Linked DNA regions of Elephas maximus indicus. The protein of the gene in region 1 purifies or fractionates together with the protein of each later gene. This does not show direct contact. Links are inferred from orthologs where the notes say so. Each region holds a gene or a part of one and is shown in the gene's direction. Other genes may lie near its edges.

Region 1 (7,053 bases):
AAAAGACCTGGTTTAAGAATACTGGCTCTATGTTGGTGAGAATGTGGGGAGACTGGAACCCTTATCCACTGGTGCTGGAAATGTAAAATGGTACAACTGCTGTGGAAAAACTGTATGGCAATTCCTCAAAGATTATAAAAATAGAATTACCATATGACTCAGCAATTTCACTCCTATGTACATACCCTAGGAACCTAAAAGAAATGACATGAACACTGATATTCACTGCAGCATTATTTATAATAGCAAAAAGGTGGAAACAATCCAAGTGTCCATCAACAGATAAATGGATAAACAAAATGTGGTACATACATACAATGGAATACTATCAAGCCTCAAAGAAAATTTAAGTCTTGTCACATGCTACAATATGGATAAACCTTGAAGACATTATGCTGAGTGAAATAAGTCAATCACAAAAGGACAAATATTGTATGATCTCACTTAATGAAATGACAAGAATAAGTAATTACATAGAGAGGAACGATTACTAGTGGTTACCGGAGGCAGGGAGGCAAAGGGGAACTCATGCACTGGGAAGTAGTGAATTTTTGTCTATGGCAATGGGAAAATTGGCATTGACTAAGGGTAGTGGTTACACAACTAGACTAATGTAGCTGTTACCGTTTTAAGCTGTATGCCAGGTTAAAAAATAAAAAAAGGTCAAATGGCAAAAAAGCATTGTACGTAATTTTACAACAGCCAAAAGATTAAAAAAAAAAAAAGCTGCACCTGTTGATACTATAATACTTAGATACAATTAAATACTTCATTGATTAGTTTTTTTGGTTCAAAGTCATGACTTCATGGGTCTATCCAGTCAATTGGTTTAACGTTGTTTTTAGAGTTTTTTTCTACCTCGTTTGATGAGCAGCCCCTGGGGTCTTAAAAGCTTGCACAAAGCCACCCAAGATACAACTGATCTCTATTGTTCTGGACCAGCAGAGGAAGAAAAAGACCCGGGAATCGGTGAAGGAAATAGTCTACAGGCTTAATTGCCTCCATAAACTACTACCTCCATTAACAGAGACCAGAAGAAATGGATGATGCCTGACTACCATTACAAGATGTTTTGATCATCCAACAGATGGATCCTGATCAAGTGGAGGAAAAGCAGGGAACAGAACTTCAAATTCATATGGAAACCAGACTTACTGGATCCATTGAGACTGGAACACCCAAATCTAATGCCCAGAAATAATCTTTAAATCTTGCACTGAAACTATCCCATTAAGTCACTGTTAAACTAACAGCTTAGCCCAATTACTAAAGAATGTTTGCCTTGAGCATTGATTCTTCTAAAGAATTATCTGTGTGAGTTTAAACTGACAACCGTTAATCTAAAGCACAGATGAGAACTTCAAGGGGCAGACAGCCTAAATTAATTATGATGAAATATGGGTAGAGATAGTAAGAATGGTGACAAATGTCATGCAACCAATGTCATTGAAGTGTTCATGTAGAAATTTTAAATGGATGTATTTGGTTGTATACATGGCCGCCAAAAATAAATAAGAATGGCAGCTCTGCCTCTTGCAAATTATGAAACTTGAAGCAAGTCACTTAGCCTCTCTGGGCCTCTGGATCGTCTGTAAATGCGTACTTCATAGGACTTTGGTTGGATTAAGTAATACAATATGAAGTTTTGTGAACTGAAAAGCAAAATTAGGTATCACTATTGAGTTCTTCAGTTAAGTAAAAGAGGACTCCAATTTTAAGCCTGGAAATTAGGAAAACAGTGGTGTTATTGCCATAAAAGGGGAAGTTGAAAGGCAGAGTTCAATCCAAATGAAAGATTAAACACAGAGGGAGATATGGAGCCAAACTATGTATTTTAAATAAATTTATTATGTTAATAACAGAAAACAATCATAGAATCTCCTTATCGTCACTGAAATAAATTTTTGCTTTTCTCTGGCTTCTTTACTTCATCATATATATTAAAAAAAATTATTAAGTATGTATTATGTGTGGGGCACTGTGCTAGGCACTGGGAATATAAAAAATACTGCTATAGTCAGCCTCCAAAATGCTCACAGATTAGGACGGGACTGATACGTGTAAACATTTACAATACAATGTGATAAGAATTGTATTAGGCTGTGATTACTGTGTTTGCATAGTAATCATAGGGTGTGGCCACTTTCTGTTTTACTTTTAGAATATATGTGTTTTGGAGTTATCAACAGGGAGGTGACCCCTAATGCCTTCAGGACGAGTAGTCTATCAAAGGAGGCACTGTAGAGGCAGATTACGGACTGAGCTTCTACACTCAGGAGCTGGAGACAAAAGTGCTATAGAAAGAGACTGAAAAAGTATATTTGGAGAGGTAGGAAGAAAACTATGTTACTGTTCCAGGAGCCAAAAAAAGAAGTCTTTCCAGAAAGACATTTCCAATATAAACACATGTGGCCAGGGAGATCCAGAAGAATAATGGTTTCACTGGAGATCAGTAATCTCCTTGAAGAGCCCAGTTTCGGTCAAAGTACAGGTAGAAACTAGATCAGGAAGGCTGGACAAGGAGTGGGTGATGATGAATGGTAAAATCTGGCAGTGAAAAGTAAACAGAAAATCATATGGAGGTTTTTCTCCCAGCCTTCACTCACCCATTTAGAGATCTGCACATGCTTTTAGCCTATAGAGGGAGAGGCCCAGGCAGAGGCTGAATAATAATAATGGAAAACTCTTACATAATGCTTAACATGTGCCAGACACTATTCTAAGCACTTTACATGTATTAACTTGCATTCCTTCATACTTACTTTTACCTAGGAGGTAAGTGCTATTATTATCCCTATTTTATAGATCAAATTGAGGCACAAAATGATCAAGTAACTTGCCCAAGCTACCCAGCTAGTCAAGTGACTGAGCCAGGATTTGAACCCAAGCATTCAGCTTCAAATTCTGTGCTATTCAAATTGTACCTCAGACTAATACAACATGCAAGCGCATTTGGGGGAAGATGAAAATTTACTTATGCTGAGTCACTGAAGGCATTAGACCTTGACATTCTCCTTACCCTAGGACGGACTCCACTCGTCACCCTACAGTCTAGGATATGTTTAACCTGGGGGTGCAAACAGCCAAGTAAAATTCCATTGGCACAGGGATCTAGGTATGGGCTTGTGCTGCCTGCTTCTCCCACTCTTGCCTGCCCAGTTCCAGGGGTGATGCTACCAATAATCGGGCACCAGGAGCTTGGTGGTCTTTCTCAATTCTGTCAACAAATATCTGAGCATCAACTCTAGGCCAAGGGTGAACAAGACAGCCAAGATATCTGCTCTCTTAAAATACACATGCTAGCGGGGGTGGAAATAGGTTAAGAGGGCACGGCTGGAGCTGGGTAAGAGAAGGGGAACGGTCGGAGATGAAGTCGGAGAAGCAGGCCGAATCCCAAGGCGTTGGCGTTGTACTTGCAGCAGTTCACCGAGTGATGGCCAGACGCCCTCCAGGCTTCCCAGACCACTTGATCCTGTCAATCCAACCTTCACACCCACCTTGGTGCCCGTACGGTAACTCAACTAACACCTCGGGCCTGGGCCACCTTTTCACCTATCTGGTGACATCTCAGTCCCAGGGTCACCTCAGCCGGCCGGCCCACCGCGTTCCTGAGTCACCGCGACCCATCGGGACCTGTCCGCCTGTCGGTCTCCCTCAGTGCGGGGCCCCTCGGGTCCCTCGGCCGGCCAGGTCGCCTCAGCGCCACGCCTCCCCGGCTGAAGATTCGGCCTATTTCTCCGCATAGCTTCCGCACTTTACTCTTTGTTCCCCAGAAGCAGGTTTTCGAAATGCCGCTCCCCCACGGCTCCAGCTGTTTTCCTGCCAGCGAGGAGGGCAGGTCGACCGGGCGACAGCAGCGCCCCCTGCGGCGCTCCGCGGCCCAGGAAGGGAGTGCCCGCCGCCGCCTTCCCCTCCTCCCGGAAGGCGGGAGCGGGCTCGGGAGGTGCACGCCCCGGCTCCGAGCTGCGCTCCTGATTGGCTGCGCCGCGCATTGTCACCGGGAGGGCCCCGGCGGCAGCTGGGAGTCAGAGCGCTGCGCGTGCGCAGACGGAGCGTGCTGAGCGGAGGGGGAGGTGGCCGGCCGCTTCTCCCGCGTCCGCCATTTTGTTGCTGTGGCTCTTGGGAACGGACTGGGCAAAACTGCCCTGGAGGGGCGACGCTCATTGCAGTCCGGTGTTTCGCGTGGCGGCTGGGGTCGGTGCGCAGCTGTGTGGGGGCGGCGGCGGCGCGTTCCAGGCTGGGAGTCACTGGAGGCACTCCCGGTACGCCGGTCTGCCCGAGACCCGCAGGGCGGCCTCCGCTGGGTCTCGCCTTCGCCAGCCCCGTCCCCCGGCTCTGCTCCGCGTTCCCCGGGCCGGCTTTCTCTGTGAGGCGGCCCCGGAGCAGGCGGGCGGCGGCGGAGAATGCTGCGGGCCCGGCGCCGCGAAGCAGGTGCCGGCCCAGCCCTCTGAGTGCGCCCCGAGGTGTGCCGGGAGGCCCTTCCTCGGCTCCGAAGCCATCTGCCAGGCAAAGGCTTCCAGAGCAGCCGCCACCCCGACCGTCCACAGAGCCCCTGGCCCGACACCATGTCCTCCGCCAGGTTCGACTCCTCGGATCGCTCCGCCTGGTACATGGGGCCAGTGTCTCGCCAGGAGGCGCAGACTCGGCTCCAGGGCCAGCGCCACGGTATGTTCCTAGTCCGCGACTCCTCCACCTGCCCCGGGGACTACGTGCTGTCTGTGTCCGAGAACTCGCGGGTCTCCCACTACATCATCAACTCGCTGCCCAACCGCCGCTTTAAGATCGGGGACCAGGAGTTTGACCACTTGCCCGCCCTGCTGGAGTTCTACAAGATCCACTACCTGGACACCACCACCCTCATCGAGCCCGCGCCCAGGTACGATCCCGCCCCGCCCCGCCCCGCCCGCGGACGAGGTGGGAGAATGGACAGGCTGGTTCGCTTGGGGCCGAGGAGTGTGGGGGATGGTGGTTGGAACTCCTGTCCCCCATTCGGAACCAAATTATTTTCCAGAACGTATTCCAAACAGAAGGTCTGTGTGAGGATCTGGGTCACTGTGGATGAGAGCATGCGTTTTAAATATGTTTAACGGTGGTTGCATAGTTAAAAATGTACGCCTTTTGCCTTTTGTCACTTTGTCTATTTGGCAATCACACGAAAACAGGGTTTTGTTTGTTTTTGTTTTTTTAACCTCTTTCTGGACCACAGACTTTTTTGAAAATCTGAAGATAGCCATAGTATCCTCCCCTCTCCCCCAAAATGCACGTACACACGTATGCACACCGTTCGAGGTTCTTGGGCTCCTTGCGGATCTCTGAGCTCCCGGTTAAGAACCCCTGAACTGCAACCTTTGAACGGTTGAGAAATGAATACGCTTTAGCGTTTAGAAACAAAGACCTTAAGCTGAAGTATCAAAATTGTATATTGATAACCCGGCGCTAAGTTTGACATGGGCCAGACATCTTTTATTTTACAGTACTATAAATTACCAAATAAATAAATAAAAGATACTTTGGCCTCAGCGAGGGCCTTTTCTTTTTTGAAAATGTGTTTTCCGTTTTCTTCAAGCTGGACTATTAATAGGTTAGAGATCCATTTGGTTAAGTCCCGAGGTGGAATAAGGCTAGCATGTTTACTAAGGGAGATTTTTGAATGGCACTTGTCTTAATTCTATCCTAGTTCAATTTCAAATGTAATTTCTATTTTAAGTCTAGTGATTTTAATATCTGCTTTTAGGTTAAGAACCCACAGTGACACTGAGCATCAAACATCCTCTTTTCCAAGTAAAATGCATTGTCTTACTTGACCATTTGCTTTAGTTTGCCGTAATAAGTATTTTATCCGGTTTCCTGATACTGTGAAGTTTCTTTTGCTAAAAGAATGCTAAATATGAGTTGAAGAAATTGTGTAAAATTTTTTTAACTAAAAGGTGTTTCACTACCTGATTTGTTTGTTAAATATGTATTTTAAAAGGATAAGGTATTGGAGTAGATTTTTCAGGTTTAGATGTTTCTGACTTTTCATAGGTAGATAACATTTTATTTATAAACTTTAAACACTGAAAGCTATTAAAATAAATTACGGAGCACTAACGGAACCAAATTTTTGGTTCTGTGGGATAGAGACACACAAAACAAAGCCGTGACAGTATAGTGCCTTAAGATTAACTGCTGGACAAAATGGACCAGGAGAATGTGATTAATACTCAAATACTGTTAAACAAAGACCAGGACACCAAGAATCTAACTGGTGGAAACCGGTAAACTTTGAGTACAATGTAATTCTAATATAAGGGGTTAGACAGAATCTTGGAACCCACTGTAATGAGATTGTAATATAAGTAAATTAACTTTCCTAATTTGTGAAGGTGAATGATGTAATTAATTTCAGGCATTTATTCAGCCTTGGTATGTGCAAGGTCTTGTTCGTACATTGAGGTTACGGGTACTATCATGTAGATGTTTCAAAAAATGGGAGCGAATGGGACAATCCCCTTCTAGAGGGAAAAAAGAGTATGCTTCAATGACTCCCACTCCCACAAAATTGAGGCCAGGTTTTCCATAGATGTGTCTTCCCAAATACCAGATGTGTCTTTCTGTCTCCTTTGCTTGCACAGCCCCTCTCATCTTTCCTTTAGCATAGCCCCACTAGTCTGCTCCATTGTCCCCTGGTTGTCATCCCAATTCAAACCTTTATGCCTTTGCCTGGGCTGCTGGATCTTCATTGAATGCCTGCCTCCGCCCCACACTTCCCTATTGAAATCTTACCTGTTGTTCTAGCCCCCTCACAAATAGTGGACCTTTTCCTGACCCTGCAGAGCCAGGCCCTCCCTCTCACAGTTCAGCTTTGTTTCTCTCTGTGCTGCCACTCCCAGCCTGTTGCTGTAATTTAGGTGTTCATTTTCCCTGTTATCTCAGGCAGTCACAATGCACCTTGAATTGGGTCCTGATTAGATTTACTTTGTTACGCTGAATCTTTGAATTCCCTCTCCCAAGCTTGAAGTTTGACATGTTAGATTTGCCATTTGAGAGTTGGTTTGGCATGTTAGTAGCCTC
Region 2 (7,623 bases), on another chromosome or scaffold:
GGTCCAGTGTGAATACAAAGAAAAGAATGAATATGCTGGGGAGTAGGGATGGTGAGAGGAGCCCTGGTGGCAAAGTGGTTAAGAGCTCGAGTGGTTAAGAGCTCAGCTGCTAACTGAAAGGTCAGGTAGCTGGAACCCACCAGCCACTCCTCAAGGGGAAAAAGACTCAGCACACAGCCTTGCATACCCCATGTGCAGTTCTACTCTGTGCTGTAGGGTCGCTATGAGTCAGAGCCAACTCCACAGTCATGGGTTAGTTAGGGATGGTGTGTTTTAGGGACAGGGGACTTAATGTATTCAAGATGCAATCTAAGGTAGGAGTTGTCTCTGGGTGCAACTGATTTGCACCAGGATCTGTGCAACACAAACCTTCACCAGTGGCAGTGGAAATGTCCCGGGAGCCTAGCTGCCACAGAGCAATTAGTACAGACTCTGATTCTTTACAAGGGAGAAACTTGGAAACTGGGCTTGCTCAAACTTTTCTCTTAGAGTTTATTTCCAAAATATCTCCCACTGGGTGTAGAATCAAGTAACTTCAGACTGTGAGCAGCCACAGACAGGGAGGAAACCCAAGTAGGTTCAAATACACCCCAAGCTTACCACCAGATAGATCTCAGCCCCAACCAGATGCCAAGAGTTGACCTAAGTCAGAGGGTAATTTGATGGAGGGAACCAAGTGGGCCCAAAGCCAAGTGGGGTTAAAAAGATACATATTGCAACAAGACTGCGAGACAAGTGTCCTGCAAGTCCTCTGTTGAGGTGGCTCAGCTGGTCACACTGATCTTGCAAGCAGCACTCAGCTCTGAAATTAACCTGTCTTTTTTTTTTACTAAATCGAAGGGGAGAAAAGGCAGAAGGGCTAGGACACAGCTATCCATCCCCACCCCCTGTCCTATCCCTGACGTCAGGCTTGGCGTGGGTGGTATTAATCACCCCAGCCTGGTGTGCAGTTGAGGACAGCTCTCCTCCCAGCCCTTCCAACCCGGCTCTGGGAGCGTTCCACCAGCCATGCACCTGCCGCTGGCCACAAACCCTCAACTCCCAGACAGGCACGGATGCAGGCTGTCGCTGACAACACTCAAAGCCACAGTGCACCCTTTAAAACCCAGGCTGTGGTGGGAGGAGGGGCGGGAAGCAACAAAACGTGGTACTTACGCTTTCCTCCCAGGTGTGAATTTCTCTAACCTCTGCAATGTCCCTCCCCACGACCCTGCCCACAATAGGATGGTCATTTCCTGGAGATTTAATGAGAATATAAAATTAATGGCCCAAAGAGCTCCTTGGAGCCGGTCATTAATTCCCCCAGGAAACACCCCAAGGTCTGTAATCGAAATTGCCTAAATTATAGGCCAGCGATGCATATCCACGCAGGGCAGGGGGCTAGGTGGGGGGCAGGCAGATATCGTCCCATGTGGTTCCGGTAGGTGGCGCCTGCCTTCATGTAAATAAATCACTCAAATAATTTGTTTTCCATTTCTCCGCAGCAAAAACCAGACAGCATTAAAAAAAAAAAAAAAAGCAGGGGGTGGAGAGGACTTAGTAAAGGCCCAGACAGGAACGTTCTGTCCGAGGGCTGTTTCCAGGCCTGGCACGCATCTCAGGCTCCGAAGACTGAGCCATACCGGAGTGCAGCCAGGGAACCTCAGCTGCAGTCGGGTCTCCTGTGTGCAGACCGTGCTGGGGTTCTGTGCTAGTCACTGGCAGTCAATGAAGAGAGATGTGGGTGGGAGTGGGGAGCGAGAGAGCACACAGAAGAGCCTCTTTCTCCGACCTTTGGGGAAGGAGGGAGGTGTTACAAAGAAAACTTCCTGAAGCCTACACTCTGTGACTGCTGTGTTTTAAGGCCTCTTCTGTCATTGGCTCTGAAACACCCAACTTTTCTATTTGCACATAGAATTGTAAATAACAATATGGGGCCTTTTGGTAAACAAAAGACTCTAACGAGTTTCTGGCAAAATGCTACCTAACCTCAGCTAACCATTGCTGTACAGATGCCCAGTCTGTATCTTGAATCATGTAACTATCAAAGGATATATAATAGAAGATTAGTGTTCTAGGGAAAGATAAGGCATCTGTATGCCTGACTTGCATCACAAATCTCAGCTGCAGCCAAACCATGCAGTTTTCTCAGACTCTTTGCAATCCCTGAGACGTGGCATCATAACTCAGATGTGAATGAAGTCAGAAAGATTGTTTTATTTCAGTTGGGAGTCACTGCCTACTGATTGATTTGGCAGACTTTGAGTATTTTTATATTTACATCTTACAGGATTTCAGTGTACTTTTAAACCCAGAGGTTAAAATGGCCATAAGTCTCATGGTGGCCCTCATGTGGCTGAAGGATCTCTGAACCGAAAGGCCAAGGGAGCTCTGGTTTCATCTATAGCATGAATGTCCTGGCTTTAAATTCTGTCCAGCAGCATACTGGGCAGCGAAGAAGTCCATGAAATGTTGGGTCCCGGAGAACAGATCTTTAAATCTCCCAAGGTGCCTAGAAGGGCTAAGCACATTGTGCAGGGAATAAGTTCTGACACACTGATTGAAGTGGGTGAACATCCAACCCAGCAAAGATTTGTGAACCCAGATGGATATTCAACTGCTTGAAATAAGTAGATTAACTGCATGAAGACAGCAAAGTGAACAAAATAACCCTAGCCACAGGTTGCACAGGGCAATGTGAAATGCTGCTTCTTTAACTCACCTGTCCATAGCACAGTTCCCCATTGATAAAATGGGTTACTATTCACTTCTCAGAGCCGTGGTGGTGCATGGTTAAGAACTTGGCTGCTAACCAAAAGGTTGGCAACTGGAATCCACCAGCTGCTCCTTGGAAACTTTATCAGGCAGTTCTGTTTTGTCCTATAGGGTAGATATAGGATCACTATGTGTCGGAATTGACTTGACAGCAACAGGTTTGGGATTTTTGTTTTGTTTTTGTATTCATTTCTCAGAGCCTCTGGGTGGTGCAAACAGTTAAAACAATGAGCGGTAACCCAGTGGTTCCAGGTCTGAGGTTCAAATCCACCCAGAGGTACCAAAAAGAGACAGGCCTGGTGATTTACTTCCAAAAATCAGCCATTAAAACCCTACTGAGTACGGTTCTACCCTGACACGCAGGGAGGTTGCCATGAGTCAGAGTCCACTGGGCAACTGGCTTGGTATCCACTTCTCAGAGAACTTAGGGTTGGAGCTACGTCTTAATGCTGCTTGTAAAGGTACCTTGCAAATTGAAGAGTTCCTACCTAAGGTATTTTTTTCCCTCCAGCCTCCCCCGCGAAGGGCTGGTGTTGTCAAGTATGTGTTCCGCGTACTTTATCTCAGTTAAACCTCACTACGATTCTGCAAGAGAAGTGCCATTATACAATTTACATATGAGCCCCCTCTCACCCTTCCAAAGGTCTCATAGTGCATTTGAATGAGTTAGAACTCTGGAGAATTTTGACCCTAATTTTTTATACTTTCCTCTGTGACACCATGCTTTCCAATTCACCTTGGAATGTTGTTGGTAATAGGTGCCGTCAGTGGCTCCTGACTCATAGGGACCCCATGCACAACACAATGAGACTACATTGCTCTGTCCTTCCCCATTTTCACAGTCCCTGCTATGTTTGAGCCCATTGTTGCAGCCACTGTGTCAATCTTCTTGAGGGTCTTCCTCTTTTTCTCTAACCTTCTACCAAGCATGATGCATTTTTGTTTCCTTGATTCTGCAAATCATACAAGTTTTCTTCTACTGAATTCTGTTCTTCCAGAGGCAGTGTAGGAGCCAGCTGGACTTTGTTTCCTGACAGTAAGAGGCTCCCAAGCTGATACGCAGACATCAAAGCCCTCTTCCCACTTGAAAGCAGATGAGCAGGATTCCGCCTTCCCTCTCACAGCCCTGGAATTAGGAATCTGGCTCTGCCAGGTACCAGCTCTGGGACCTTAGGCTGTCTGTAAAATGGGAATAATCTTCCCCGCCCAACTTTTAGTTTGCTAAGACAATCATGTGAACAGTGAATGTAAAAGCGCCCAGAACACAGAAGATCTGCTTCCTTCTTTCCTTCTCCCGCCAAGGGGGTGCGAGAGTTAATGAAACTCTTGATGGGAAAAAGCGGCAGACTAATTCCAGCCGGAACCTGACCCGCTGAAACCTGAAGCTCTGGGAAAGGATAGGTAACGCTAACAGGACTCGGGTCCCAGCCAGGTCGACCCTCTGTGAAAAATCGATCCTCAGTCGAAGTCTCGCAGCCCCCTACCACTCACCCTCCCCCCAGGGGCGCGGCCACCTCCCCCAGCCCTCCCGGGCTTGCTGCTTGAAGCTTCAGGGAAAAAAAGCAAGACCTCGGGGGCGCGGCCGGCGACAGCTTGCGGCGTCCGCAGCGACCTCGGGCCTCCCGGGCGGCCAGGCAGTGTTTGCGTCTTTGAAGGCGGCCCGCCGGGGGGCGCGGCGGGCTGTGGGCGTGGCGAGCGCGCGCCGCCGCTTCCTGCTGGGGCGCCCCCTCCGCGGCCGGGCCCGAGTGCGCTGGGCGCGGGCGCGCGAGCCAGAGCGGGCGCGCGCGAGCGAGGCAGCCGGGCTCGCGCCGCGCCGCCTCGTCCTCGCCCCGCGGCCGCCGGCGGCCCCGGCCCGTCCCCTCCCCCGCGAGCTGCGCACCGCCGGCCGGCCGACCCAGCGACCCGCGCCCGCGCCCTCGTCCCCCGACCCGGCCGCGGGCTCCAGTCGGCCGGCAGCATGAGCGGCGGCGGCGACGTGGTGTGCACTGGCTGGCTGAGGAAATCGCCCCCCGAGAAGAAGTTGAGGCGCTATGTGAGTGCGGACGGCGAGCGGGCGCGGCCGCCCAGGGCGCGGGCTGGGGGCGCCCCACCGCCCTTGAAGGGGCTGGGGGCTGGCCGAGGGGCCGCGCCGACGAGGGGCGGGGCGCGCCTTTGGGGTGGAGAAGCGGCTGGTGCGCCCCGCGCCCGGGGGATGTGTGGGGCACCTGCACACCTGTCACAGGTGCGCCTCCGAGGGGCGGGGCGGGCGGGGCAGCAGGTTGAGGCTGCGGCTCCTCCGCTTGGCGGGCGCGTCGGCGGCACCTCCCCAGCCAGCCTGCCTGTAAACTAAATACAGTATTGAAGTTTGTATTGATTGTTTTTGGAGACCGAGAGAGTTGATTCCCTGGGCTGGGGGAGCATAGTAACCCTGAGTGGGTTTTGCATGTGGGGTTGGAGGAGTGGGCGGAAGAGGGGGGCGCAAGCTGTGGGGCCGCGTGGTCCAGCCCCCACAAAGGACGAGGCGCCTGACACCCTCTCCCTCTTCCCTTTCTCTGCCCGCCCTCCCGGGTAGCCGCCTGCTTCCTTCCAGTCCACAGCCTCTGTCTGCATCATGGGCAGCGTCAGCGGCATGTGCAGCCCTTGTATTAAGTGACTCATTTGTTTGTCCCCCCTTCTTTCTCTTTATTCTGCATGTCTCTCACATACACCCCCCCCCCATGGTGACATTGCAGTTTGGTCTCCTCTAACTGGCCCAGGTTTTGTGTTGTGCAGCCCTTGGTGTCTGGGGTCGGAAGAGATAAGATTCTCAGTTGCCAGGTGGTGCTAACCGACATTGTTTACTGAAATTGCTGGGACAGCCGCTCCCCTCTAGGTGAGGAACTAGCAACATCAAGGAGGAGGTAGTACAGTCTGGTGCTGAGCGGTGAGGAGTTCTGGCTTTTTTTTTTTTTTCTCCCACCAGAGGATGTATGTTCCTGTAGAGGTCAAAGTACAAGACGATGCCAGTCACAGAGATTTGCCCGAAATCGGCCCTGGGGTAATCTCAGGAGGAAGGATCCCGGGAGGAAGGTCGCTAAAGGGTCTCAAGGTCTCCCATCTTGTCCCCCTTCACTTCTTATGAAATGCCCTTGCTAGACTGATTCCTGGTGCTTGACTCTCTGGGATCACTCCCACAGCCTGGAAGTGAGCTGCTGCCTTCCAGCTGCAGTGCATCAAGGGAGCTCTGAATAGACCCTGCCCTCTGTCAGCTGCACCAGTGGCTGTCCATGGGGGGAGAGGCAGAAGCTTACCAGAGTTTCCTGTCTTGGCTCCCCAGATCAGAACCAAGGGACTTTTGGCCTCTGGACTGAGGAAGTGACATTCTGTTTTTCAAAGGAAGTGTTGTTGTTGGGGAGTGCAAGAGAGTGTCTGTGTGTGTGTGTGAGAAAATGAAATCGGGCTCTTAGATCATTTGCTGGGGAAAATCTAAGGACTCGCACATGACTTTTCAAAGCGGACGTAGATTTAAAAATACAGTAGGAATTAGGGGATGAAGTGTTTGACTCAGTTTTAAAGTGCATTTTCCAGGGTACCCGTGTAGCCTCAGCATTATAATTGCTAAGAAGGAAATTTTTTCCACATCAGGGTTTTATCAGTTCATCAGGGAAGTTGAGTTTTATATTAGGGTTAAGGAGGAATTTGTAATTAACATTTTTATAAATATCGAAAAAACGAAATCTCTGGCTCCGAAAAGCTTCCAAAAATTATCAATTGAAGTGATTTCATACCAGCTAGTAGAGTGTCAATAAAAATGTGACCCTTAATTGTCAAAGTAGAATACTACCCTAAAGAACCTTGAAATTTTCTTTTTGAAACATTTTGCAAACAATTTAACACTGTATCTACATTGGACTGGTGACTACTTCAGCCCTATTACCCAGACTCTCTATGACCCATTTCTTGGGTATTTTTGTTGCTGGGCAAAAATTTAGTTCAAAATAATCAAGTTTGGAGGCTTTTGGGTCAGGACCTTTTTCACATGTTGGAACTAGTTGACACCTTGAAGTCATAATAACGATCTTAGTCTATTTCTAATCTTCCTTGCAGCTCTAGCCCGCAAGGCAACTGACCAAACCAGCAACAGCTTTTCTTAGACTAGGGTATCATGTGCTCCATTGGTATGGCTGGAAGCCTTTCCTGCTGTGAAAGTTCAGTTCCCTGGTTGAGTCTGTGTCGTTCTGTATAACCCTAAACTCCTGAGGAATAGTCTACCTTTACATGTACTTTTCCTTGGTGTTGAGAATTTCTGCACCCTGTTGTAAGTTAGAACTCTGCTGGTTCTCTGTTCATTGTAGGTCCAAGTTGGTTAGAAGCAAAGTTGGAATGAGTTATTTCTCAGCTTCATTGCCAAACCAAAACAAGCAAAGAAAGAAACCAAACCCATTGTCATCCAAGATAGCAGTTTGGAAAATAGATTACAACTATTTAAAACTTTTTAAAAACCTACCTTTTTGGGTTAATTTCAGATGGTGGTAAGTGTAGGAGGAAAAAACAACTTGGGAGAAGCTTTGGCAAGTGTTATTGGAGATTAGGGATTGTCCCCATTGACATTTTCTGTTTTATTAATCATGTGAAAGTATTAAAGGTCTATCCAGTATTTTCTGTGTGCCCAGAGGAATTGCAAATAATGACCTCTGGAAAATGGTGAGTATTGCCCTCTGGGGTGTCATGACGTTGTTGCAGTGAGAGGTTGACAGGAGCAACCGAACACCCCTCCTTCAGACCTTGTAAACTTAAAGGCCCTTCTCTAGTATGTATGTATCTGTATCTGTGTGTATAAAACCAGCTGCTGTCGCGTCGACCCCGACTTACTGCAGCTGCGTGTGTGTCAGAGTAGAACTGTGCTCCATA
Region 3 (6,897 bases), on another chromosome or scaffold:
CCATTTCACATATTGGGAAACTGAAGCTCGGATACACCGTGTAATTTGCTCAAGGTCATGATTTGAAAAATCGATGACCTGAAAAATGAATCCAGATCTAAAAACCAAGCCCTTGTGATACTCAAAGTACCTGTCAAAAGATGAAGGGCTCAGACATGGATTGGACTGGACAATGGGTTGGAGAGGGATGCTGGTGAGGAGTGAGCTTCTTGGATCAGGTGGACACTTGAGACTATGTTGGCATCTCCTGCCTGGAGGGGAGATGAGAGGGTGGAGGGGGTTAGAAGCTGGCGAAATGGACATGAAAAGAGAGAGTGGAGGGAGAGAGCGGGCTGTCTTATTAGGGGGAGAGTAATCTGGAGTGGGTAGCAAGGTGTATATGGGTTTTTGTGTGAGAGACTGACTTGATTTGTAAACTATCACTTAAAGCACAATAAAAATTATATATAAAAAAAAAAAGATGAAGGGCTCTAAACCTCAATGGAACCAGACCTCTTCTGATTTTATTTTTTCTACATACTAAGCTCTTTATGTAAGCTGAAGATAGGTTTAGAATACCAGCTTTATTTTCCGATAATTTACTTACTAGGTTGCTAAATTAATTCTATTTTCATAGTATTTTTCTGATACGGGTTACAGTAATGGAGATATTAACTTAATGGAGAGTTACTGAATGATGAAGCCATTTACGCTTGTGTAATGGGGGTGTCATTTATCAGTGCCCCAGTTTAGGAGTCTGGGGCTTGCACAATTCAGCAGCCTCTCTGCTCTTTCTTCAGAGTCTTTCTTTGCCACACTTACAGGTGCCCAGGGGGCTCCATTTGGACTATGATGTAACCAGGAGTCCGTGGGTGGTGTAAACAGTTAATGTGTGTAGCTGTGACTGTAAACCAAAAGGCTGGTGGTTCCAGTCCATTCAGAGGTGCGAGAGAAGAAAAGCCTGGTGATCAGCGGTGTCGCTAGGGCTGGTGTCACCCAGTGCAGTAACTCAGGTATCACCCACCCCCCAGGGAGCTCCTCCTGTACCAGATCATACAGAAGCCTTAGTAATGTTTTTTGTACTAATGTTACTTATGAATCATAATTCTCATATATGACTCCTTTTCATTTAATTACTACTTCATTCTCAAAAAAGTTATTGATAGAGGTTCACAAACACTAATTACCACAATATTGTAGCTAAAACACCAGAAAATTTGGCAAAATCGGCGACTATAAAAACACTGGGAGCAACAAAAACAATATCGTGTGCTTGCTGCATGTGTAGATGAAACCAGCGTGATTTGCAGTGTCATTGCCATTGGCTAATAACGACAGCTCTGATGGGATCGCATTAGACTGTTCAAAAAATAAATTAGCATAGTTTTAGCCTCCTAGGTATATTAACACATGTAAGCTGGGCTTATGAAAAATGTTTCTGTTGTTGTAACTAATGAGATTTTTTATAGTCATTTTGGTGACATTCCCTCTGACAGTGTCACCTGGTGTGCCTCCTCCCCCATGCCTCTACATCTGAAAAAATTAGCCATGGAAAACTCTATGGAGCACAGTTCTGCTGCGTCACACAAGGAAGGGGTCGACATAAGTCAGAATCAATGCGCCGGCAACTGGTTTGGATTTTTTGGTTGTACGAAGTAATTCTTTGCTTATTCTTTCTCCAGTTCTCTCTATGGTTAACTCTTTTATCCTTCAATAAACCAATTCTGATTCTCCTCTTTCTTTAGAGCATCTTTCAAATCTCTGGCTAAATACCTCCTCAAGACCTAGTCCCACCTGTTATTCTTTACCTTGCTGTGTTTATTTCCTTCATAGCACATTTATCACAATCTGTACTTATGTTGACCTTTTATTTGTTTACTATCCTATACCACCCAGGGCTTCACTATTACCTTAAAGGAAAGGTTGGCAGCTCAAACCCGCTCAGAGGTGGTTCGAATCCACTCAGAAGCAGAAGCTCTCTAGTTTGAAAAGGTCACAGCCTTGAAAATTCTAAGGAGCACAGTCTTACTCTGCACACATGGGGTTGCCGTGAGTCCAAATCGACTTGACGGAAAATTACAACTACAGCCTTCTAAAATTTGTTTTGGGGCTTTATTTTTCGTAAATAAATTGGAAAATGTATTACATTACAGGATCATGTTACACTCAAGCCCAGGTAAAATAATTGTAAAACACACAAACAGGCAAGTAGAACAGAACATTCAGTAATTTTCCCTTTTCTAGCCAAACATACCGGGCAGGGGTTGATTTTAACCAAATACAAGTGGAAGAAGCTGACAACAAATGGGGTGAGCGAAGGACTTCAAATTCTTTGGCTCCATGAAGTGCTCCCACCACTTTCGCGGCGCCGCCAGGGACTCTCCCACCCCAGTCCTGGCGGTCCCCAGGACGCCATGCAGCCGTCCTAGACCCGGCTCTTCGGTCTCTCGCGGCGGGAACCCGCGGAGTCGCCGCCTCCCTACGACGCCGGGGTCTCTGTCTGGCCTCTTTGGCTTTGTGGACAGTCAAACACGGAAAACCCCGAAACTCCCGGTCTGGAGCACAGTACGCACTCGGAACTGACACCCGGGCTAGCTCAAGGTGGTAAGCCCGGCACTGAACATGTTAACGTTCCCCGCCCCTCCCCGCGCCCGAGCCCCGCCGGGGTTGCCCTCGCCCGGCCTCCGCCGCCTTCCCAGGCGAGGGGTACTCTGGGGGCTCCCACCGACACCATCGCCGGGCGGCCGAGATTCTGCTCTCGCGTTCCGAACTACAGATCCCAGGGTGCCTCTCGGACTCCGGCTCCCTCCCTCCTTAGTTCGCTCCCTCCCTCGTTCTCCTCCTCCTCCTCCTCCAGCCCTTGTTGTTTTGGCTGGAACGCTCCGGCCGAGTTTCAGAGAAAGTCTAGGCAGAAACCGGAGCCGGGCCCGAACTGGGAGGAGAAGGAGAAAAGGGAGGAACAGCAGCCCGGAGGCCAAGAGAGGGAGGGATCGGGCCGGGACCCGTGGCCGCTCAGAACCTGCCGCGCACCCCAGGGTGGGGGAGGTGGCGGGGGAGGAGCGTGAGGGGACGGGACAGTGGGATCCCTCCCCGCAGCCGGGCGCCTCATTCCTCCGCCGTTCCCCGCCCTCATCGGCGGCGGCGAGAACGGACCCACCCTCTGGCGGGACCTGCGCCCTCTCCGCGCCCGCACCTCGTCGACGCGCCGCGCATCGCCGCCGACTGGGCGGCTCCCTCCGCGTCCCGGGACCTTGCCTGCACCCGCTGCACGCGGGACCCTCTCAGCTTTCCCTTTCCTCCCGGCTTCCCGGGCGCCGCAGAGAAGCGAGCCGCCCTCCCTCGAGGAGGACGAAGGACTGGATTGCGCAGGGCTCACCGAAACCGAGAGCGGGCGAGCGGGAGTAGGCACCGCGCGGAGCATTGTGTGCGTGCAGCGGTGTCTGTTTCGGAAGGCTCTCTGGGGAGGTTCTGTCCCGAGGGGGCGGAGCGCAAGGCACCGAGGCGCTGGCTCCTTGTCCGGATAGAGTCCCGCGAAGACGCCGGCCCAGTTGAGCCTGAGCGCTGCTGAGGCGGCCGGTGGGACGGCGCGCCTGGTGGCGAGGCGGGCGCATTAAGGAGAGGCCGGGGCGCCCTCGGCCCCGCGGCAGCCGCTGCCCAGTGCGGTCGGCAGCGGCGGAGCATCCCGCTTCTGCTCACATCTGTGGAGCTGCCAGCGAGACGCTCGGACGCCGGGAGCCCCGCGCAAGAGCGGGCCGAGCGCGCGTTGGGAGCTCGCCTGTCCTGTCCGCGGAGGGTGCGCGGCCAGGAGAGCTAGGACCTCGCCGTTGTGCGCCCCGCAGGCGTCGGCTGTATCGGGAGCGCGCCTGCCCGCCCCTCAGCTGCCCCGCTCAGGGCCGGAGAGGTGTGCATCATGAGCGGTGGCGAAGTGGTCTGCTCGGGGTGGCTCCGCAAGTCCCCGCCGGAGAAAAAGTTGAAGCGTTATGTAAGTAGAGGCTCTGCCAGCGGCACCCGGTCCCGAGCTGGCTGGCGGCTGCAGCTGCTCGCGCGCGGGGCTTTTTAATCCGCATCTCTTTTACCCTCGGCCCCTTCTCCCATCAGGCTGGGGACCGGGTGCTGTACACTCACGCCCTGGCTTACACTTCACTTCGCCTGGCAACTTTCTTCCTCCAGATTCCGGACGGCCTGCATTTCGGGCCTTACCGCCCCATAGGAGGGCCCAGGGTTTCCAGATGAACTCCCGCTGCATGTTTTTACTATTGCTTCTAGCAGTTGTGGGGTGGGGTAAGGCGGGGAGAGGCGCATTCTCCTTTCTTTTTATCTTTCTGCACCTAATTATGGGGGTGGTGGCACTAGGAAAACCGTAGGGGCCGCCAGCCCTCTTTGGTCCACGCTCTTTCTTCACTTCCCTTGGAGGTGGGTTTCGGGGAAGGGACGGTGGAGCTAAGAAATTGGTATCGGAGACAAGCATCTCATGTCTGCGCAAAAAGAAAAAGTTCTTAACGCGCCCTACCGTTTGCTTAGCAGGGTTCACATTTTCGCGGTTTTGAATTGAGGGACATTGGAGTTTGGCCCGAGAGCCCTGGCGGTTTGCTGCGAGAGGAAGGCACTGGGGGGAGCCTGCTGGCTGGTGTTTGGGCGTCTTGAACGCGCTGTCAAGCCCCGCAGGAGGGGACAGCTGAAGCCAGAAGGAATTTCTGTGTGTTGCCAATCTTTCCCAGGGCACCAGCGTGGCTTAAATGGCATTTGTGTAATTGATACACGATGCTGTTGGAAAAAATATTCCTTGAAAGAACCAACTTTAGTGGAAATCTATGTCCTCTTCAGGCGTCTGAGATCTCCCCGCCCCCATTTTTTTTTTTTTTTTTTTTTTTTGTCGCTGCCTCCTGCAAAGGAAAGAGAGAACACTTTTATGCTGGCGTACGGAGCAAATACTTTTTCTAGTAAAATTTTAAAAAGCAGTATTTATGTTCACTCAAATATAAATTTTCTACCTGGGACTGACACTTGTGCTACTGGAACCTGTTTCTTGTTGGAGGATATCTCCATCCAGTATTAGAGCTGAAGTTAATCGTATTAGTCACTGTTTGCTTTCATGGAACAGACTGAAGTGCAATATTTAACTTCACTGACAGCTCACCAGTGAGTTTCTGGTTTACTTTTGCCAGAATTTGTTATAGACAAGTAATTCTCATTTCAGGGATCGATGCCATAAATCCTAAGAAAGTTCTCCAGAGATTTTGAATCCTTCCAAACTCTGTCACTCCACCTGTCAACTGTTTGTCTGCATATCCTGGTAGAGATACTAGCTTTATTCCAAAAATAAGGGGAGAGGCAGTGGTTTTTTCAGCTCTTGGTTCTAAAGGGATAGGTGTGTGTGAGAGGGGGGTGGGTAGGGAGCTGGAGGTATGTTAGTTTCGAGAAGACACAATTTAGGAAAGACATGCAGCTGTTGTTAGTTGCCACAGAGTTGATTCTGATCGTCATGACCCTGTGCTTGCAGAGTAGAACTGCTCCACGGGGGTTTCAGGGCTGTGACCTTTTGGAAGTAGATAGCCAGGCCTATCTTCCTAGGTGCCTTTGAGTGGGTTCCAACTGCCAACCTTTCCACTAGTAGTCTAGTGATTAGGTTCTTGGGGAACTAGGTATTGGTAATAGAGGTTTGTTTAATGCATTCTTTCACATGTTAGTTATGGCTTTTTCGAAAGACGCTAAGTACTCTATTAGGTACCATAAGGTTAGAAAATATAGGCGGGTGGGGGGAGTCCTGCCTCTTAGGCTTGCAATGTAATGTAGTATAAACCAGAAGGAAAATCAACCAAAAAGATTGTGTCTTAACAAGGACAAAAAAAAGGAGGTTCAAATGTGTGTGTGTATATATTTTATTTTTATTTTTTTCTTTTTTGACCCTTATTTTATGAGGTAGGTATTATCTCTGTTTCACAGGTGAGAAAACAATCTATCCAACCAGAACATGCCAGAGGCAGGATTTGAACCCAGGTCTACCTGACTCACTGAGCTGTAAAAGGTTAATGAGGCTCATCTAGTTCATTTCAAATACGGGGCTTGGACTAAATCATCCCTAAAGGTTCTTTCCGATTATAACTTTCTATGAGTCTGTGGATATTAGTTGAGAATGCCAGGAGGAAGTGGGCTGTAGAGCAGATGTGGTGTGCAAAAGAAATGTCAGACCTGGAGTTTGCCTTGAAGCAGCTTTTCGAGTCTTCAGGAAGACAGGCATATGTGAAAAATGAACCAATAGTGCAAAGTAGTTTATGATTATGTGCCCAGGTTGAGTGGTATGGATGCTTTGTAGATGTGTTTCAAGGAACAAGTTCAATGTAGTCTGGAACCATGGGAAGACTAGAGAGACAGTGGACTCATATTTGTGTTTTCCCTCAGCGGAGGGAAGAATATACCCCTAACAGCTGGGGAAAGGCTGTTTTTTTTTTTCTTGCCCAGTGGAGCACTAGTGTATTTTCTTTACGTAGTAGTGGAATGTGCTAAGATGGCCCAGGAAGACGGTGGGCAGGGTGGCTCTCAGCTGAGGTAGCTAAGAGGATGAGGCAGAGTGTTTAAGTGAGGCTTGTCTCATTTTTTAGCTGTGAAATTGGTTGCCCAGAAGATGTTGCCATTCCCAGATTATTGTTGATCTTTTGGCTTAGGTATCCAATTTTTTTTTATCCAATTTAGATTGTTTTTGCTAAAGCAGCTTTTGACCATTAATGATACCCAAAAACCAAAAAACCAAACCCAGTGCCGTTGATTATGTATATATGCATTGCCTATGCCTGTTCTCTTTTCACGTAGAATCTTTATTTTCTGGATGAAAGGAAACATTGTTGGCCACCCAGTGGGCAAAACGTTGCTTTATAATGGTTTTTAATGAATGGATTTGCTGTGAAAAGATATCTCAGATGC
Region 4 (7,370 bases), on another chromosome or scaffold:
GTCTAGCACCAGAGCAGAGGGGGGAGGCGGGTGAGGGGAAGAAAGGCACTTCTCCATTACGAAGTCCCAGGGGGGAAAGGGTTATTTTGATCCCGAGCGATAGGTTAGAGGCTTGCACTTAACTTTCACAGATCTAGTGCTGCTTCCCCTGGCTCTGGAGGCTTGTGCAGGCTCCCTGCCACTCGGTTTCTCCCCCTACCCCCTCAGTGCTGGTTTCTCCCAGCATGGTAAAATGCATCCCAAGCGCTACTGCTTGCCTCAGCCCACCTGCACCAAATGATCCAGCCTGCAAGGTGCCAGCTAGGTCAAGTCTGGCACTTCTTCTCTTCTTCTGAACTGTCTCTGTCTCTCCTGGCCACTCAGTCCAAGTCCTCAACTTTGTCTTTGATGTTTAGGGCTCCTAGATTGTCATATGTAATCAATTCACTTGTTTTTTCAGGTCTTTGTTGTAAGAGGGGCCACACGAAGCATCTGACTATTACACCATCTCGCCCCGCCTCCCTCAGGAATGTTCAGGATATAGTTCTTCCATCAGGACAGCCTCCTCTCTCTGGCATCTCAGCCTCTGCTCTGCTAGGGCAAGTGTTACAAAGCTCTTTTAGCTTTGCCAATAAGTGCTCCAAGGTACCCCACTCTGCTAGTAAGCTGCAGCCCAGAGGTGCTCAGCTCTAGCTCCATGGGTTGGCACACCTAGCTCCACCAGTGCCCAGAGGCACCCCATCCCTCCAACAAGCCTCTTGCCCAAAGGTACTCAGCTTTCTTGCTCTGTGGGCTGAGCTGTTTCTTGCTGGTCTCCTGCTGCTGTTTCTCTGCTACTGTTTCTTGCTGTCTTCTGTGTTACAGCTCTCTATCTCTCTCTCTCTCAGTTTCCTGGTTCTGAGAGATTCTCAACACAGGTATCCTGGGTTCAAAGGATGCTCACTACTCCTGGCTCTTCTTTCTTGGTGGTAATGAGATCCTCTCTTTCCCACCTCTGGGATGGCTCATCTTAAGCCTAAAGGGATGGCAAAACTGATCAGTCCTCTTGGTGGGCTACAATTACCTTATTTGCACAGTCCTGCCAAATCACTTGGGTGGGAGTTACAAGACCATGGCAAGAAAGGCCATGCAAAAGTGATCCATTGCACAGCAGGCTGGTACATGCAAACTAGATCCAACAACCCAAGCTGAAGTGAGCCCCGGTACCATCAGCATCACTTTGGCTGCTTCTTCCCCTAACCTCACTGGATTCCTGTTGTTCCAATAGCCAAATGTTGTATGCAAAATGCCTAGAAGAGGGTGTGACTCCTTTGGGAAGGCCTTATCTAGTACATGCTCTTGGAGCAGACTCCTGGCCACCTCGCCGTAGTGGTCATCTGGAATGTTCTTCTGGAATGTTGGGAAAAGGCCCAACAACAGCCATTCAAGTATGGCTTGAGCTCCTTCTCTGTGCTGGATTTGGCGATGCAGAAGTACACGAGCCAGGCACATTCCCTGCCTGCTCACAGTCCCCTGGAAGGGGCAGACATTAAACCAATAACTGTACGAGGAATCAGTGAACTATCTGGAGGCATGTACTTGGAAGGAGTACACCTTCTCAGCAGTCTGAGGTGGCGGAGATGGACATCTGTGGTTTTGCCTCATCAGCATCTCTTCCTCTGATGCTGCTTTGAGCAACCACCCTTTCCCACCCCCAGGCTGCTGATTCTGTGGCCCCCTCTCCAAACTGGAAATTCGCACAATCCATAGGCTGGCCAATCTATGCATTTTGCCCCCTTGTCTGCAGTAACTGGCTCAGCAAAAGGCATGTGACTCAAACTAGGCTAACGAACATCCGCCATGAGATTTGTTTTGGAATTATGGTGAAAGGGACACTCTTTTTCCATTGGGGTTGTAAAGCTGGTAGGTGACAAGCCTGGGGCAAATAGAACCCAGTCTTGTGGGAGAACAGTTTTGAATAAAGGCAACACAGAGATACAATATTGTTGTTTAAGAGCTTGAATTTAGCTGTGTTTGGACCTGGCTGTATCCCTGGTTTGGTAGCTACGATATTCAACAAATTTCCTTTCTTGCTCTGAGCTAGGTCTCTGACAGTGAAATTAAATGTCTCGACCATTAGAGGGCTGTCCCCACTGTGGGAGTCAAGGATGAATTCCTGGAAGAAGTAACCGCTGAACCAAAGAGCAAAAGATGACTAGGAATCATCCAGGTGAAAAAGAGGAGAAAGAACGTTCTAGACAGAAGGAGTAGCATGTGAGAAGGCCCCCAGGTGGGAAGAACATGACTTCAGGAATTTGTTTGCTTCATTACCCTGTATGTGTTCTACTGTAGATATAAATTAAAAACCAGTTGCTGTTCGGTCGCCCCCTACTCATGGGCACCCCGTGTGTGTCAGAGGAGAACTGTGCGCCATAGGGCTTTTAATGGCTGATTTTTTGGAAGTTGGTTGCCAAGTCTTTCTTCCAATCTGCCTCTGGGCGGATTCGAACCTCTAACCTCCAACTTTTCGGTTAGCAGCTGAACACATTATCTGTTTGTACCACCCAGGGACTGCATAGATATAAAGATCTTTGATGAATAGCCTTTTTAAAATAAACTCCACAACCCTTACTTACAATAATGTCCATTTGTAAAGTGCCTTCATGTTTGCAAATCCTTTGTTACTTGATATGTCATGATTTATTAAATATATTTGGTTTTGCTCTCATGAATCCCTGCCTGAACCCAATATTCATTCAGTCTAATTTTCTACTTCTCACTCAGAATTTCAGATATAAAATACTGGCCCCTTTCAGTTCACAAGCCTAGAAGAATTGGGAGCCTAGAAGTCTAATGAGTGGCAAGGAGGTGGGCACAGGGCCGGGGGCCAGTTGTGCCTGGCTGTGCATCTGCCAAGAGAGCTGAGCACTGCCACTCTGGCTCAGAGCAGCCATTCATCAGCTCAAAAAGTGAAAGGAGTTCCTCAATCTTTGGCTTAACCTTTAACCCCATAGAGGGCTGGAGCTGACAACTCTGGAAAATTGGCTGCCATCTACAGCTGTCTCTGAGTGACAAGATCAGTGGCCCATCGGAGGGTGAGGGGAGATGCAATCTGGAATCTCTTGCTATATCAACCACCTTTCCTTTCTCCCTGTACTTCCCCCAAATCCTGTCCCTATCACCAGCTTATTTAACTGTTAATTCACCTATTTTGAGGGAAACAGGAGGGAAAATTGGTTTAGTTGGTTTTATGTTACTTCTTTTGAACATTCCTTGTATTGTTAAAATTTATTGTTACTTGCGTTATATGATTTAACTTTGACTCCCCAGCTAAATTATGGGATCTTCAGAGGGAAGAATCAACCATGTGCATTTTTTAGGACCCACAGCACCTAATTCAGTGCCTAGCCCTAGTACTCATTGATTCTTAAATGAATGACTTAAATTTTTTTTTATTGTAGTGTAAATATACATAACAAAACGCCCACCATCTCAACAATTTCTACGTGTACAATTCAGTAACATTGATTACGTTCTTCAAGTTAAGCATCCATTCTTGCTATTCTTTCAAAATCATTCCATCACCATTAAATGAATGACTTTTAATGAACTCATCACCATCCAAAAAAAGCCCATGGCTGACAGGTGAGCATGGCAGGAAAGGATTGCTGGCTGCCTGATGGGGTTGGGCTCAGGCCTTGGCAGGAAGGCTGGGTTGCAGGGGACACCAAGCCCCCGGTGGAGTCAGGCCCAGACCTGGCTAGGTGGATTCTGCTGTCAGGGGGTGCGGAGTATCAGGCAGGGGGAGGGTTAGACCAGGCTCAGGAGACACAGTGTTGAGTTCTGGGTGGGGTCCAGCCTAGGCCCAGGTAGGTGACTCTGGCTGGCAGGGGGCACTGAGTACAGGCTGGAGGGATGAGTCCCAGGCTTCGGCATGGACTCCAGCCAGCAGGGGGTGCTGTATCCTGGGTAGGGGGAAAGTACCCGGCTTTGGCACGAGACTTCAAACTGGTAAAGAGTGCTGTCATGGTTTGAGGGGGGTCAGGGGACAGGGAGCACCGAGCCCCGGGTGGCGTCAGGCGTCAGGCGTAGGCCCAGCCTGGTGACTCCAGCTGGCAGGGGGCGCTGAGTCTCTCTGTGGGGTCAATCCCGGGACTTGTCATAGAGACTCCAGGCCGGCAGGGGGCACTGTGTCCCGAATGGGAGTGTCAGGCCAGGCTCCGGGCCGGCGGGAGCCCGGCAGGTGGCGCTGTGGCCGCGGCCGAGGCCCGGCGGGCGGGCGGCGGCGCGGCGCTGCGGCCGGGCTCGCGGGCCCGGGGTAGCGGCGGCGGCGGCAGGAGCGGAGGAGGCGGAGCGGCGGCTGGCGGCGGGAGCGGCGGCGGCGGCGACCCCGGGCGGGCTGGAGCGCCGGTCGCCGAGCGCACAGGCCGCGGCCCGCGGAGCCCGCCATGCCGGCGCGGGCCTGAGGCGCGGCGAGCCAGGGCCGAGGCGAGCGGCGGCTGCGCCGGCCTGTCGCCCCGCAGCGGCCCGGCTCGGGCCCGATGAGCGGCGGCCTCGGCCTCCGGCGCAGCCCGGAAATGTCTGGCAAGATCGAGAAAGCAGGTGAGGCGGCGCGGGGACCGGCTGACTTCGTCCGGCGCCGCGGGCCGCTGGGGGCCGAGGCGGGCGCGAGCTGCCTGCGGCCCGCGTGGGCCCTGCCGCACTGCCGCTGCGCCCTCGCCGGGAAGGGGTTCGGATTCGTGCCGGGATGCGAGCACCCCTCTTCTTGCCCGGGGAGCAGAAGTGAAACTGCCGCCGAGGCCTAATTGGGGCGCTTTCCAACTTCACATTCAAAGGCCGCTTTCAGCCGGTGGGCTGGTTGCTCTCCGTCCTCTCTCCCGTGGGCTCGGCCGGCTGCAGGAGCGGTGGCCGGAGGGCGGACGCAACGGGCGAGACTTTTGGGGGTGGCATTTCGGAGGGCGGTGGAGGTGGGGGCCCCCTCCCTCAGCAGCCGGGGGTCTCCTTTGTGGGTGCTGCCTTGGTCTCTTAAGCAACTTTCAGAAAAATGGCCTGAACCTGGGGAAGGGGAAGAGAAACCCCGGCCGCGTGTCTTCGGCGGCTCTGAAGCGCTGTGCCGGCCTCGGGGCTTGTTTGTCTTTCCGAAGGCGAAGAGTGGAGCTATAAAATGTGTCATTGCTAATGAGCCTCGGGTTTAAATTTAACTTAAAGTATCCACTTCGGTTGCTTCAAAGGAAGCAGTTAAGGTGTGTTTGGGTATTTTTCCGGGCTCAGTCAAGTTTTCCTCTGTTATCAAGCTTCAGTCTGGAAGCAGGGCATGTGGGGAGCAGGTTGGCTTTGAGCAGCTTATAAATCTTGATGCAAGCCTCATCTCTTTGTGTGTGCCTAGAAATCTTGTGAGTTGCCTTCTGATTACCTGGTTTTGGCCTATACTAGGAATAGACTCTCTGAAGATTCAATTACCGTTGTGCATATGGGGCCCAGGGCTTAATTAGTTGCGACACCTCATGTAGTGAATTCTCGGGTCCAAGGTGAAGTAGATGAATGGTCCAAGACTCTTGTACTAAAAACAAGTCTGGTTGTCATAATTAGGATACCAGGTTAGCTTCATAGCTAAAATGTGGAAGGCAGGGAGGGTTTTAGGAAGCCGTAAAGGAGCCCTGATGGCTAAGTGGTTAAGAGTTTGGCTCCTAACCAGAAGGTCTGCAGTTCTAATCCAGCAGCCTCTCCTTGGAAATCCTTCGGGGCAGTTCTACTCTGTTGTTTAAGGTCACTATGAGTCAGAATTGACTCGATGGCAATGAGTTTGGTTTTTGGTTTAAAGGCGGTAGGTAGCATTGATTTTGGAAGTTCGCTTGTGTATTTCCTGGGTTGAACTGGAATACTTCTCTGGGGTGCATCTCTTGAGTGGACCCAGAAGACAGTGTAATTTTGCAGTCTGTAGTTGAAGCACAAGAAGGGAAGTAACCTTTATTGAGGGCTTGCTACGTATCTGGCTCCCTGTCAAGCACTTTAAACATATTCTTTAATGGAGCCTTGCAGATCCTCTGTGAGAGAGAATACGGTCCCTGTTGTACAGGCTCAGAGAGGTTCAATGAGTTGCTGGGGGTCATCTAGCAAGAGGGCAGCAGGGTGGGCATTTATGCCTGGTCCTCAGATTGGAAGGTTGGGTGTCTTCTGCACGGGGGTGGTCAGTTTCAGGTGTGATTTCCTGCATATTTTTGTCACTGTTTTTCAGCCTCAGGGCCTTGCCCAGTGACCATAAGTCACTTCCCTGCACACGTGCTGTTCCAGAAATATCTTGAGTTAATCTTTGAAGCATTTTTTAGGAACGTCTTGTATAGTATCTCATCGGAATGGTATTATCAGGAAGCTTGGATGATTTAATTTTAAAATAACATTAACTGAATTTTCTTTGATTGTATGAGTATACCTGGAAATCATGGAAAAGTAAAAAGAGCTAAATGAAAAGCACTTCCAGTCCCGTGAATTGCTTTCCATGGCTCAGACCTGTCTGGATGAGCTGACTTCCTTTGAGTTCTCTAAGACCCAGAGAAAGGACTAAAGTCAGTTTACATTAGCATAAGTTATCTCTGGGCCTTCTCTGGACACTGCACTCTGCCAGGTGCTGTGCTGGATGCAAAAACCAGTAAGTCAGGAAAGCTTGTCTGAGGGCTGGAGAGCTGGACCTGGGGTAACGCGTGGGCTACTTGGTATTATACCTGTGCTGTAGCAGGAGTCAGCTCCAGTGGGCACCAGGTAAGGAAGGGGCCTTATCAGTTGAAGGAATTAGGAAGCTTCTTGAGGGGATGGTATTTGTGCTAGGCTCTGAAGAGAGAGCAAGGTTTCCCTGGGTGGAGGTGGATATAGGAAGAGAGCTGAGTGAAAGGGGTTGACCAGGGGCTGCAGAAAGCACGGGTGGAAGATGGGTTTGGTGGGAGCTGGCAAGCAAGAAAGTTCTCAGTGGTTGGGAAGACCAGGGTGGTATCTCAGCTGGCTTTGGAATTACAGATGTGGAGCTAACCAGAAGTCCAGATGATGTCTTTTATTGCATAAGGTTTTCTACTATGACCCATATGCTTTGGAACACTTCTGTAATGAAGGGTTGCCCTTCCTGGTGGTTTTTACTGGTCATTACAGTGGTGGACAGTTCGAATCCGCCAGGCAGTCCTTGGAAACTCTATGGGGCAGTTCTACTCTGTCCTATAGGGTCGCTATGAGTCGGAATTGACTCGATGGTAGTGGGTTTGGTTTTTTTTTTTTTTCAATAGGTGAACTTCACTTTGCTTTTGTAAGAGGTTACCTGTTAAATTTATGTTGGAATTTTCTAAATAGACCTAATGCTAAGTTATCCAAAGGAAAGGTCTTTAGGTGAAACGGTGACTTCTCCTAGCAAGTGAATAATGTCTGGTAAA

The links.
Region 2: the proteins of CRKL (region 1) and GAB2 purify together in Homo sapiens (affinity purification with western blotting; 3 studies listed by BioGRID). This does not show direct contact. The link is inferred for Elephas maximus indicus from reciprocal best matches to the Homo sapiens genes CRKL and GAB2.
Region 3: the proteins of CRKL (region 1) and GAB1 purify together in Homo sapiens (affinity purification with western blotting; 3 studies listed by BioGRID and IntAct, with this or other methods). This does not show direct contact. The link is inferred for Elephas maximus indicus from reciprocal best matches to the Homo sapiens genes CRKL and GAB1.
Region 4: the proteins of CRKL (region 1) and RAPGEF1 purify together in Homo sapiens (affinity purification with western blotting; 16 studies listed by BioGRID and IntAct, with this or other methods). This does not show direct contact. The link is inferred for Elephas maximus indicus from reciprocal best matches to the Homo sapiens genes CRKL and RAPGEF1.

What each region holds. Positions count from the first base shown.
Region 1 is NC_064840.1:21,415,776-21,422,828, forward strand, and holds the start of CRKL (crk-like protein), read left to right. Parts: upstream 1-4,034; 5' UTR 4,035-4,565; coding exon 4,566-4,876; intron 4,877-7,053. UniProt on the Homo sapiens protein: May mediate the transduction of intracellular signals.
Region 2 is NC_064825.1:43,711,023-43,718,645, forward strand, and holds the start of GAB2 (GRB2-associated-binding protein 2), read left to right. Parts: upstream 1-4,601; 5' UTR 4,602-4,711; coding exon 4,712-4,786; intron 4,787-7,623. UniProt on the Homo sapiens protein: Adapter protein which acts downstream of several membrane receptors including cytokine, antigen, hormone, cell matrix and growth factor receptors to regulate multiple signaling pathways.
Region 3 is NC_064831.1:41,427,836-41,434,732, reverse strand, and holds the start of GAB1 (GRB2-associated-binding protein 1), read left to right. Parts: upstream 1-3,878; 5' UTR 3,879-3,889; coding exon 3,890-3,961; intron 3,962-6,897. UniProt on the Homo sapiens protein: Adapter protein that plays a role in intracellular signaling cascades triggered by activated receptor-type kinases. Plays a role in FGFR1 signaling. Probably involved in signaling by the epidermal growth factor receptor (EGFR) and the insulin receptor (INSR).
Region 4 is NC_064827.1:82,641,639-82,649,008, reverse strand, and holds the start of RAPGEF1 (rap guanine nucleotide exchange factor 1), read left to right. Parts: upstream 1-4,369; 5' UTR 4,370-4,499; coding exon 4,500-4,560; intron 4,561-7,370. UniProt on the Homo sapiens protein: Guanine nucleotide-releasing protein that binds to SH3 domain of CRK and GRB2/ASH. Transduces signals from CRK to activate RAS. Involved in cell branching and adhesion mediated by BCAR1-CRK-RAPGEF1 signaling and activation of RAP1.